2 linked regions of the Tribolium castaneum genome follow. The protein of the gene in region 1 purifies or fractionates together with the protein of each later gene. This does not show direct contact. Links are inferred from orthologs where the notes say so. Each region holds a gene or a part of one and is shown on either strand. Other genes may lie near its edges.

What was found. The genes of interacting proteins can lie anywhere in the genome.
Region 2: the proteins of mitochondrial carrier homolog 2 (region 1) and asrij purify together in Homo sapiens (affinity purification with mass spectrometry; 3 studies listed by BioGRID and IntAct, with this or other methods). This does not show direct contact. The link is inferred for Tribolium castaneum from reciprocal best matches to the Homo sapiens genes MTCH2 and OCIAD1.

The regions. Positions count from the first base shown.
Region 1 is NC_087394.1:749,536-757,579, reverse strand, and holds mitochondrial carrier homolog 2, read left to right. Parts: upstream 1-4,058; 5' UTR 4,059-4,279; coding exon 4,280-4,384; intron 4,385-4,436; coding exon 4,437-4,521; intron 4,522-4,570; coding exon 4,571-4,865; intron 4,866-4,925; coding exon 4,926-5,112; intron 5,113-5,357; coding exon 5,358-5,624; 3' UTR 5,625-5,735; downstream 5,736-8,044. Other genes in the region: proton-coupled amino acid transporter-like protein pathetic, read left to right, coding at 1-28, 857-1,487, 1,536-1,714, 2,398-2,806; eIF3i (eukaryotic translation initiation factor 3 subunit I), read left to right, coding at 7,098-7,100, 7,217-7,410, 7,789-8,044. UniProt on the Homo sapiens protein: Protein insertase that mediates insertion of transmembrane proteins into the mitochondrial outer membrane. Catalyzes insertion of proteins with alpha-helical transmembrane regions, such as signal-anchored, tail-anchored and multi-pass membrane proteins.
Region 2 is NC_087394.1:12,529,303-12,534,498, forward strand, and holds asrij (OCIA domain-containing protein 1), read left to right. Parts: upstream 1-3,432; 5' UTR 3,433-3,525; coding exon 3,526-3,591; intron 3,592-3,644; coding exon 3,645-3,765; intron 3,766-3,810; coding exon 3,811-3,991; intron 3,992-4,041; coding exon 4,042-4,202; intron 4,203-4,304; coding exon 4,305-4,516; 3' UTR 4,517-4,576; downstream 4,577-5,196. Other genes in the region: Vps4 (vacuolar protein sorting-associated protein 4), read right to left, coding at 2,362-2,593, 2,643-2,778, 2,829-2,964. UniProt on the Homo sapiens protein: Maintains stem cell potency. Increases STAT3 phosphorylation and controls ERK phosphorylation. May act as a scaffold, increasing STAT3 recruitment onto endosomes. Involved in integrin-mediated cancer cell adhesion and colony formation in ovarian cancer.

The DNA of each region.
Region 1 (8,044 bases):
AAGCCCGACATTTGGACCAACCTGTCTCGTAAGTATAGTTCTTTTATTAATAAGAAAAAAAAATGAAATAATAATAAAAAAAATTAAAATAAAATAAAATAGAAAAACTATTACCTAAAGAAAAAGAACAGAGAATTCTGTTCTGCTAAAAAAAAGCAATAAAAAAATCGAAAAAGAAAATGTTTTTGCTTTATTATGTAAGCGGTGAATTTTTTTGTTTATTTTTTGTGTTTAAATTTCTTATTAAGTGTTTTCATGTAAATTATTAAAAAAAACATATAAAACAATTTTTTTTAATAATAAGGCAAGAACAAAAAGATTTTTTTTTATTTTATTAAATTATTTTTCTTTATTTTTTTGTTCTCATTATCAGAAAGATAAAGATGTGTAGAATTTAAAACAGTAAACAAAAATGTTGGTCGGCATTTAAAAAAATTTAAAAGAACGTTACAACTCAAAAAACACATGACATTACAAATGTACCATTTAAAAAATAAAATCGTCCTGTTCCAAGATTTTTTAAAAAGTGACCATTAATATTAACAAATGACCATTGGTTCGGTCTGTATATTTATTTATACCAAAAAAGGTAATTTCGACACCAATTTCAAAAATTTCTTCAAATCGTAGAAAAAACGTTGTATGTGTTCAAACTAGAACAGTCTAATTCGTAACTACATTTTCAAAATACCAAAAACTTATTTTTTTTCAAAATTTTTTCGAATCGTTGAAAAAACATTGTATGTGCCTAATCTCCACCAACTTAATTCGTAAGTACATTTTCAAAATTTGCAATATCGAACCATTTCTTTGTTGAAAATTTGTGATTGTAGAAAAAATATTGTATGTGTTTCAGGAGCGGCGCCACCCTCACCCACCTCCTCAAATCCTCCCTCGGCACCGGCATCCTCTCAATGCCTGCAGCATTCAAAGCTTCCGGCCTCTGGCTTGGTGTCATCACCACCATGTTGGTATCCCTAATTTGCACACACACTGCCTATGCTCTAGTCACCTCGGCTCACGCCTTGTACCGCAAAGCGGGCAAAACGTCGATGAGCTATGCGGAAGTTGCCGAAGAATCCTGTCTTCGGGGACCCCCCTGGGCGAAAAAATACGCCTTCTTGCTCAAACAATTGGTCTTATGGGCGATTTTCGTAACTTATTACGCCACAGGAAGTTGCTATGCTGTTATAGTTGCCGAGAATTTCAATTACGTGGCCTTCAACTATTTAGGGAATTTTGATAAAAGAATCACTATAGCTATGTTGTTTTTGCCCTTTTTGCTCATTGCCTACGTGCCAAATTTGAAGTATTTGGCACCAGTATCCATGGTTGCCAATTTTTGTATGGCTATAGGATTAGGGATCACGTGTTATTATCTCCTGAATGACATTCCGTCCATTTCTGACAGACCGGCAGTGACAAATCTGGCAACGTTGCCTGTTTGCATCAGTATAGTGATTTTTGCAATTGAAGCTATCGGAGTTGTGAGTTATTTTTCGAAATTTTTGGCACTTTTTTATTAATAATTCTAGGTAATGCCACTTGAAAACAACATGAAATCGCCACAAAAATTCGTCGGACTTTTTGGAGTACTTAATCAAGGGATGACTTATGTGACCATCCTGTATATAATTTTAGGTTTCTTAGGGTATCTCAAATATGGTGATCTTACGGCTGATTCAATCACGTTGAATCTTCCACGAGAGGAATAGTAAGTATATCGTATACAGGGTGAGTCAAGTGGGTGTGGTGGTATAACTTATGAGTCACCCTGTATATGTAACGAAAAAAATGGTCGAGCGTTTCGAACTCGAATTCGGTTTTTGTTTATCATTAATCGTTTATTGAGCATATTAGCAATTTTTTGATAAATTTTCAAGGCCACAAATCAACAATTTATTTTTTTATTTATCTTTCTGATGCAGAATTAATCGACGATTTCGAATATGTAATCGATTTTTAATTATCTTTGTTGGTTTCTAAATTTTGGCTGAAATTTGTTCGTCTCTAGTTAAGTGCTAGAATATAATTTTTCAAGGTCACATAAATCAACATATTGAACACAGAATAAGGAAAATTCTCCAAGGATTTAGAATATGTTATCAGTTTTTATTTTCCGTTTCTGGTTTTCGTTTTTATATCGAATATTTCGATATATTTTCGAAGAATTGGCATTTACCTATTAAAAACTAATCTTTGAGATACAACCGTAATTTTTGACTTTTGAGCACTGTCTACCACTGGAATTATAATGTTGAAGGCCACAAAAATCAACAAACTGAAGAGAAAAAGTATTTTTGGTACAAAATTATCAAAAGATTTCAAATATGTAACCAGTTTTTTTAACAAATTGTTAATACTTTTTGAAAAAGTGCTAAAAAAAATTTATTTCAGTGCTGCCCAAGCTGTGAATCTCCTTATCGGCCTTGCAGTATTCTTCACTTACGGTCTAGTGTTTTACGTGTGTTTGGACATTTTCTGGACCGAAATCAAGCACCGTTTCACCACCAAAACAGCACTTGCTAATTACGCCCTAAGAACTATTCTTGTGATGATAAATATCATAATTGCGATTCTAGTGCCTGCCATTGTACCGTTTGTCGGTTTAATCGGAGCGTTTTGTTTCTCGATTTTGGGACTTGTATGTCCTGTGATTATCGAAATATTTACGTTTTGGGATCAGGGATTTGGGAAGTTTTATTGGAAATTGTTTAAACATTTGGTCGTTGTTTGTATGGCGTTGCTTGCTGTTGTTTTTGGGTCGAAAGCGGCCATCTCTGATATTGCAAAAACATTTCACTGAAGCTTTGAATGCTAATATAAAGCTCTAATATTTCGAATCTTCGAGAAAAAAAAGGTTATAACGTAAAACTTGACTATTTATTTGTGTTCTTTGTTTGTAATAAAATTAAAATTACTTCTTCTTGAATTGCATTTATTTCATCTTCCCCTTTTTCCCTGTTTATTAAGAAAACAGTAACTCAAGCGATCATTTAAAAATGTTTTCTACTTGGTTTCACAAAGTTTTGGGACAGCAAAATGTCATAGTTATTTCATCTAATTTACACAATAATCTTTTGTTTTCGACTTATAAACAAAAGTTGATGTTTTAGCGAAATCTTAAACAATTCATATCATCCTTATTATAAAAGATATACATTTGAAACAAAAACATTATAGAGGCACTTTTTTACGTAGAATTTAGTAATGTTATCAGAGATTTTTTTTAACAGTTCGTTTAAGTTCAATAATGTAAAGTTGTATATTTTTAAATAGGAATCTTAGTTGGCTATGACATTTTCGAAAAGCTTTTTTTTTGAACTGAAAACAATATAAATACAGCTTGATATTTTTATATTGATAAAAAATATATTTAAAATATTTTAAAGTAGTTGGCCTCGGAAAAATTATTTAAGTGAAGTGAAGTGAAGCAAAAACTCCAAATAAAAAATACTCTTTCTACTTACAGTTATAAAAAATGTTCAGAAAGTCCATCTGCACTTCCGTAACACAGAATCATATCGGTCATTTCAGGATTTGTTTGATTTTTCATGATAATGATCCACTAACACACGAATCAAAGCCGAACTAACAACACACTAATCTGCACATAAGTACGGCGTACCGGCGATAACAGTTTTTGTGCCTTTTTTGCGTGGCGTACTCATCTTTAAATTAAAAAAAATAAAAAAATAAAAATAAGTGTTTTTTTAATATACTCGTACTGTATAACTTGGTCTTGAAATAAGTTATTAAATTAAAAAAAAAATCACATCTTAACCATACAGAATTGAGCTTCACCATCCCTTACACAAACAAGGTAAGAAGTGAATTTGTATTTAAATAAGACAAAAAAAACATTAAACAAATTTTAGGGTGTTAAATAAACAGCGGGAACATTCAAAGCCAAAAACAAATAAGGTAAGACGTTGTATTAAATAATCATTACATTCCAATCAAACATTGTATTTTTAACAGTCTTGTATAACTGGTTGCCTAACACGCACAAAAAATACAATTTTTAAATTTCCCTCGTATTATGTAAGACACCGGCCGGTATTATTTCAACCGTGAACATTTGCAATTACATTTATTTAAAAAAACACAAAAATAATCCTCCCAAAACCCGCCTTTTCTTCATTTTTTATCAGTTTATCACGCACAAAAAGATAAGCGATCCCAGTTGGCACAATTGACAGTTGTGCCCACTTTTGACAGAAATCAAATCGTGTCCAAGTCTCACCAATTTCCCAAAATTTCCAAAAACAAACCCACGATGAAAGTCGTCAAAGACAACGAAAACAAATGGTCAGGATACGGACTTCGCATTTTCCTCAACACCTTATCGCACCCATTCGAATACGCCAAAGTGCTCATACAGGTTAGGAAATTGTGGTGAAAATCGAGCGAAAATTCTGATTGTCTCATTGCAGATCGGATACGAACCCATACCGCCTCACTCGTCCAAAACCCTGCTCGGTAAACCAGCCCTCAAACTGCCAAACATCTTCCAATACGGTAAACCCCCCGAATTTTTAACCGAAAATAAACAGCCCCCTTATTACAGTCAAACACATCAAGTCGGTCGATGGTTTGTCGGGTTGTTATCGCGGCTTGGGCCCCAAAGTATGCGGCAGTTTGATAAATCTTGTCGCTACACAAAAAATGATGGAATATTTGGACTTGAACCAGCAGGACGAAGAAGAGGATACAGATGTTGAGGAAAATCGAAAACAGAAATTTTTGAAGTGTCTCAAGGGCGATATCATTACACATACAACAGCCATAATCATCAGTCAGCCGTTTCACGTCATCACTATACGAATTATGGCACAATTTGTTGGAAAAGAAGCCAAATATGTGTAAGTTTAGTTTACTGTATTCGATTTTAGGGGAGATTATTATTTTTGGGGGGTTTACAGGGGTGTGTTTGGTTCCATTGGTGAAATATACAGACAGAATGGAATTTTGGGTTTTTTCAGCGGACTCATACCCAGACTGATTGGGGATATTTTGTCCGTTTTGTTGGCAAGCAGTCTGACTTATGTTGTCAATAAGTATCTAATAGAAGAGAAGGAAATACAAAATTATACTTCAGCCGCTGTGTGTGTAAGTGAATTTAAAAAAAAACACAGTTGGTGAGCCCGACTGTCATTCAATGAAATATTGTCCCAGCGATTTGAAAAAGTCCTATATTATTGAAAAGTATTTTTTATAAAAGTAACTCATATCTGGAAAAAGTCTGTACACTTGAAAATAATTTCAAAGGTCAACAATGCACTTTTTCAAAACACAGAGATTATGGCCGCACTGTTGCCAATATTTTGACTAAAAAATAACTAAACCATTTATAGTATTTGTTGTTCAAGAATCACATTTCGCAGATGGTGTCCTCATCAATAATGTACCCCTTCCAAGTGGTGTCAAATTGCATGGCTGTCTCGAATTCGGGTTTGTTGGCTGGATCGCCCCCTTATATGTTGCACTACAACACTTGGATTGATTGTTGGAATGATTTGTCGAGTCGTAATCAATTGAAAAGAGGGTCTAGTCTTTTGGTTCGTTATTACAAGGGTCCTTCGTTGATAACAAGTAAAGGCAATCTACTCAAGGGCAACTAAATTTCATGTTATTCAGTAGTTGGATTTTTTTTCATTACAAATTGACGCAATTGTATGTAAATATTTAGAGTATTGTGTTATTTTACAATAAAATTCTTGTTCAGATTTTAATTGGAGTTTTTTTTATTAAGCAAGCAAAAACTTTGGCTTTAACTTTTAAAATGTGCGACTTGATATAAAGGTAAGTTAAAGTTGGATTAAATCTTTAGTTTCTTTGTTTTTTATTACACCCTGTACATATTTCGAAAAAAAGTGTTTATCCCCATTTTGTTTCTTTAGTTTACAGTTGCTGAAATCAGTAGGACGCGTTCTTGCAAAAATTAACAAAGTCGCTACACGGGTAGGAGATTGAAAAAATAAAGTTTGAAAAGTCAAGGAGTTTTCAAAAAAGAAAAAAAGAAAAAAAATTCAATAAGATTACAAGGAATATTTGTCCCCACTTCATTTTTTTACAAGCCAAGGCCCTACTGGAGCGCTTTATTACTAGCAAAAATATTTATTATTTACACGGTAAAAGCGTTGCGAAAATTAAGTTCTAAAATTCAAAATAATTTTGAAAATAAAAAGAAAAAATCTGTTAGGTTTTAAAGAGTGTTTACCTCCACTTGATTGTTTTACAGTCGAACACTATCCAAGAGCTTTATTTCCTGCAATAATAAACAAAATTGCAGTACGGAAAGCCGGTTGAAAAAAATGAAGTTTAAAAAGTAAAACATTTGCAAAAAAACAAAAGAAAAACATTCAGTAAGCAGAATGTTTGTCATCAATTAATTTTTTTACAGTCGAAAGTCTCATGGCTAGGCTATATATTCCTTGCAGAATTGAACAAAATCAATAAATGGGAAGGGGGTTAAAAAATAATGTTTGAAAAATTAAAATATTTTCCAAAAAAAAAAGAAAAAAAAATAGGTAAGGCCCCAGGGAATATTTATCCACACTTAATTTTTTTTACAATCAAATTCCCATCATCAGGCTTTGCTTCCTACAAAAATTAAAACACGAAAAGGGAGTTGAAAAAATAAAGTTTAAAAAGTTGAGATAAAAAAAAGATTGTAAGGTCCCAAGGTCTTAAATTAATGGCTCTACTTAATTTTTTTACTGCCAAAAGCCCTTTATTTCATACAAAAATAAACAAAATCGCTACAATGAAATATTATTTTAAAAGATTAAGTTTGTAAAGATAATAATTAAAAAAAAAAATCAGTAAAGGCCCAAAGAGTTTTTAATCAATAATCACAGTTAATTTTATTACATATTTTTCCCAACTGCTAAAAATTGCCAAAATGGCAATAACGCCATTTATCAGTTAATTTTGACAATACGGTTATTTCACCTGAGCCGGCACTGACTTAACCCCGCCACTGCACAACCCACCATGACAGTTAATTTTGACACCTCTTCTGTCAAACAACCGTCAAAAAAAGCGTGTTTAATCATTAAAATCCTTAAAAAAACGCCCAGTTTTTTAACAAAATGGTAAGTAACGACTCACAATCAATCGAAAAAAACGCCCCACAACCGTAAAACATTACATTACCCCACAATTTCACCCACATATTGTTCGCTTAAATTTAACCTCAAAACCCCCACAGAAACCCCTTCTACTCCACGGCCACGAACGTGCCATCACCCAAATCAAGTACAACCGTGAGGGCGACCTCCTCTTCTCCTCCTCAAAGGACAACAAACCCAACGTTTGGTACTCCCTTAATGGCGAGAGGTTGGGAACCTTCAACGGCCACCAGGGGGCTGTCTGGTGCATCGACGTCGACTGGACCACCACTAGGTTAATAATAATAATAAATTTATTGCTGCAATAAAGCAAATGGGTGCGCGATAAGGTTGCCTCAGTAGCGAATATACAGGGTGCCTCACCTAATACTTTTGAGCCTGATATCTCAGTTATTTGTCAACGTATTTTTATGAAAATTAAAATGCAGATATTTAGGAAAGTAAAGATTAAAATCCAATTAATGCAAAAACTGAAGTCTTAAAATCGTAATTTTAAAATTAAAATTAATAAAACAGATATTAATCTCGAAAGTTTTAGGTGAGACACCCTGTACAAGTTTTGATTAATTTGCTTTTACTGATTTAATCAAATACTACTTAGACCAGAAATATCACCTATTTTGCTACTTTTTAAACTATTTAAACTTTATAGGTTCCTGTCAGGTGCCGGTGACAACACCCTTAAAGTATGGGACTGTGAAACGGGCAAAGAAATCGGGAACATCTCAACCAATTCATCAGTCCGAACGTGTCTGTTTAGCTACTCGGGCAACATGGCAGTGTACACCACCGACAAAGCCCTCAAACACAACTGCGAGATCTTCATTATTGACGTCCGTAACGTGGACGAAAGCATCTCGCACGCCGACCCCATTTTACGCATCCCGATTAAAGGTTCCCGTGTTTCG
Region 2 (5,196 bases), about 12 Mb from region 1:
CATAGACCCACAGAAAAATTTACAATTTCAGACCCATTTAAGATAAGTAAATTAACTTTTTTCCATTCGATTCACTAAGCTTTAGCGCATTTTTTTTGCAAAAAAGCGAACTTGGAATCGATATTTCATCGCCTACTATGATTTTCTGCAAATGACAAACTACAAATGGCAATAACTCGATCGATTTATTTTAATGCAACACCCTATATTTTATTGCACCATTGCATGGCATTTTTTCTACTACAAATTTGTCTAATTTGTAAAATTTTATTGATGGATATTTATAGTTTTGGAGACAAAAAGAATCGAGTAGGCCGTCGTAAAATTTAACACTCCCATACAATTCTGAAAAGAGTATTTTTTAACAAATTGTGAAGTGTAATAGAAATTCTAATGGAAATAGAAGTACAATCGCAAAGGAAACAATTTAAGAATAGTTAAAATTATAGCTGTATTTTTTAGCAGTAAACTGAGTGGTTGAGCAGAATTTTTTTTGGTTTTAGAAAGAACCTTGTTGATATCATGACGGTACTGGATCAAAAAATTAAATAATTCACATTATTGAACAACAGCCGCTTTAGTTTTTTAAAACAATTTGTTTCCTTTATAAATTGTATAAACTTTTGTAGACACCGGACATTATTTTTACGATAAAAAAAATTGACGATTTTCGTGTAGCGATGAATTTTTTCCATTTGTTATTCCCTCCACAATGACTAAAAATTCAGTTCTAAACAGTGTAAACAAATAGCAGTGCCATATGTGGTCATTTGAATTTATAATTTGTATGGTAGACCTGGCGAACTCTAAGAACGTCCACGATAGGCGGAGCCAATGCGTACTTCATCGAGTGAGGAGTTTGAGCAGTGGCGTAGCAAAAAACTATTCTATGATCAAGAAGGGTTTGGGATTTATAATTTTTATTATTTACTATTTCCTGTTTTCAATAATAGCAAGATAAGATAATAAAAATCATATCTAATGCTAATACAGGTTGATTTCATAGAAATACAAAGCAAGGAAGTGCAATAAATAAAAAATACGCAATGAGTAACGAGTAAAAACGCGTTTATTACAAAAAAGGTTTTATCCTTAGATCTGTCGTTTTGCGGACTCTATTAGGGTCTATATGTATAAGACGAGAATTTGCCAAATATTACCACATCTACATATTACATTACCACAGCTTTGCAAAAATTGTTTAAAATAGCAACCTTCCTGGTTTTTCTCAGTATCATCTGGAGTAAATATTTAGTAATTATTAGATATTGAAAATCATGTACTTCTTCTCCAGTTTTGATTGAGTCTTTTATTCCAAGAAGTCTAACACTTTCTAGCCTACCAATATTATCAAAAAACTTATTGAAATCACGTGATAGTGGTTAAAGTATAGTAAATTTTTGTTATAAACTTCGTATTTTTTAAATGTAAAAACCGTAAGTTCTTTAACCAATTATTGGTTGCATCGTTGCATCTAAGAAAATTTCAGATATAACCGATAAATGTAATTGACTCACTCTGTATGAGTACGCCACTGGTGGAAAAGTCCATAGTCGTTATTATCTTTATTTTCTTCAAGCGTTTTGCTTTAAAGTATATCCCAGCATTCAATAATAACCAGAAAAAATTTTACAAATCCCTCGCTTTAGAGGAAATGATTTTTTTGGGGCCTAATCTATTAAAAATGTAAAGAAATAAGTCTCGCAGAATTTGTGCAGAAAATTTTATTATCTACAACTCTCTTTGTTACATTTTTCTGGACCGTCTCCGCTACGTTTTGGAAAATATGAGGCGCTGCGCAAAATTTAAATTTTTAATATGTATTTTCTTCATATTTCTTGCAAAACTTTTAGTCGTTCACTTTTTCCCACCCTATTAAGAATGAAACGCTCAGGATCCATTTTTTTCAAGCAATTAGTGAACTAGTTTAATTTAACTTCAAAAGCTCCCTCTTTTTGACTTCGCCGCTCTAATGTTTGGGTACACAGAACATGAAATAATTGAGGGAGAATTTATAGGAATAAAAACAACGATAGTTATGCAACGTTACGTCTATTAACAACACACATCAGGCTAAAGAAAAAATTAGAAAACATATTTAGCCTGCTGATTGTAAATAAACGAAATGTTGCATAATATCCGGTGTTTTTAATTTTTACAAGTTCAGCTCTCCACCACTTATTTTTCAACCTTACGTTATTGTATCTGAGGACGCTATTTTCCCCACAAGATTAGTAAGTAAAAAATAACGCTGTAAGTTTTAACGTAGATTATTAGATTTCAGCGGGTTCTGTACAACTGTATAACTTTTACTGAATTTTGCTACGGCTGGAGGCCTGGAGAAAACGTGTCAACACTTACACCAAACAGGAGAATTCCCTTCCAAGGGACTCGTTTCCCGCTGAAAAGATGGGGGAACCGAATGGGGAGAATGACCGCCTCCTTTAGGGCTTCTTTGGCGGCATCGAGCCCCGCAACGTCCGACCATTTCACGTGGGGCTTTTCCACAACAATAGCCCCTTCAAGCTTGTTTTGCAGTTTTTTCTTCTCAGGGTCATCGCCATCACTATCACTGTCACTTTTTTTGTCATCCCTGGAGAACAATTTTGGGTTTAGTGCACACGATAAGATAAAAAACATACTTGGAATCGGATTCTCCATCTTTGATAGGTTTCTTCTTGCCCTTCTTGAGGGATTCTTTAATTTTTTCGGCCCTTTCCAGGTATTGACAGCATTTGGCTCGGATGCTTTCTTTCGCCTTTTCGCCTTGTGCCTCATCTGGAAGTTAAATTAAACGGGTTTTTACCAACTTTGTTACAACAACTCACATTTGATGGCATGAAGGAAATACTCTACTCCGTGTTCGTATAACCTAAGTGCTTCCTCATAATTCTTATTGCGATCTTCCTCGGTGGCTTTTGTCACTAATTCTATGGCTTTTTGTAACGTTGTTCCAGTTGCCATTTCTCAGTATTTTAGTTTTAATTTACCTGTGATGATTCAGGTTACAAGGACTATCGTCAAACGTGAATTCAATTAGTTTGTCTTGATAAAACAACACAATGTGTATCAAAATTTCATAGTGGGAACTAAACACTCAAATTAATTAACTTGATCATCCACAAAGCATATAATTAACAGACATTACGTTCGCTCAAGGAATTATTTTTGATGGTGACTTTTGACAAGTGACACAGACCCACATACGCAGCGCCACCTTGCGTATGTCGGGGAATGAACATTACAGTCGACCAGACAATCTCTGCGCGCATGAAACTTGCGTCAATGACAAATCGAGACTAAATCTTGTGATTAACACATTAATTATTTCAAAAACTAAATCGGGAATAACTTATACGACCCCAGACAGTTGTTGTCCATTTCCTGCATCTGTCTTAACATTTTTTCATTTTTTACAATTTGAATTTAATTCAATTTTTGACCGCCAGGGGCCAAGTCAAGGCCAAATGTCAAAAATGATTTAACCTAACCTAGAAATTATCAAATTGGGTTTTAAAATCTAAAATGCAGCCAAATCGAGGGGATGAACCTGAGGGCCAGCACTTATCTGATCCAAGGCACCGCCAATACGTAATTTAGAGTAGTCTACAACCGAATTTAACAAACTTTAGTATTTTTTTTAGTACAAATTTAGCCCAGAAGAGGTGCGAGTTATAAAAGAATGTAACCGGGAGAGTTTTTACCAGAGGTGCTTGCCTCTCGGTGCTATTTTAGGCGTCTCCACTTATTACGGAGTTAAAGCAGGTGGGTTTAAATTGACAAGAACATGCTAAAAAGTGACATTTGTAGGTTACCTTCGGGGTAATCCCCGGTTTGGGGCTTTCCCCAAAGTCACGGTTTCAGTGATTGTGGGATACTTCCTCGGGAAATTTTCGTATCAGACGAAATGTGCGGAAAAACTAATGCAATTGCCAAATAGTCAAATTGGTGAAATGTTGAGGAGAAGGAGACAAGGCACTTTCCAGGAGAGGTTTCTTATTTGGAATTTGTTTAAATTCTTAGTAAAGTTTAGGGTTTTAGTTTAGAACCCGGTTTTGGGCCTGGAATGTCTTTAGGGCCGTTCAGTGGTATCTCGTCATCAGATACCTACACTGACTTAGGGCCTGGTAATAGTGTTGATATTGATACTAGCAGACCACAGTTTGATGGATTAGATGATGCGCAAAGACCCTCAATTGATAGTAAGTTGCGTTGTTTTTTCTCTTAATTAATTTGTAATGATCAGTGATTTTGAAATTAAGTTGGTCACACTGGGTCACTTTGCTAAAATATAGTTGTTGTAGATCCAATTTATGAAGAAGAAATGCCTCCAGTTCAGAAACAAGTGACTACTTACGATGAGTTGAGAAAAAAGAACAGAGAGGAATACCAACAGAAACGAACTTTAAGTTACAGGGAACCTGCAAAGAGTGCCCCTCCACCATCGCCTGGTCCTACGACACCGTCAGATGTTTCAGAAGGAATCAAAAATAAATATGGGGATGTGTGGGGGTAACATAAGTATTAAACTGTAATAAATGAGTAAAAGTCTGCTTAATAAAATGGATGTAGAGTATGTGTAGTTTTTTACGACTAAGGTTTCAAGTAAAAAATCAAAATCAAAAATAGAACCAAAGGGATTAGTTAAATTTACAATTATAGAAGATGCTCCAAAAACCGGTGCACCAAATCAATGGTGTGTGGTAGAGAATTACTTACATAAAAGATAAAAATAGTAAAAAAATCTTGGTATTAAACTTATTGATAAATAACGAATTTTAAATAAATGATTTGTGGCAACGTCTAACAGTCGTGACGGCAATATGAGTAGAATTTGAGCAACAATAAAAATAAGTTATTTTTAAATTAAATTAATTATTTAAAGTACATAGCCTTTATACGAGTCTATTAGGCCTTTGTTAAGGCTTTTAAAAAGAAAACTACGATTATTTATTCTGTTTTTGGTTTATACGAGTTATTATATAAAAGGCTTTTTTATCAAGTTTACCAACACCTAAGTTTAGCCCTTTTTGGAAATACGAGTATGTATGTATTTCAAAAAATGGATTTATACTCTTTTCGATTTGAATCTTTATTATTTTAGAAAATATAACGTAGATCTTTTTTTGAGTAGTTTGAAGAATGTTGTGTAGCTATAACTCAGTTTTCTCTAATGAAATGCTTTAATTTATATTT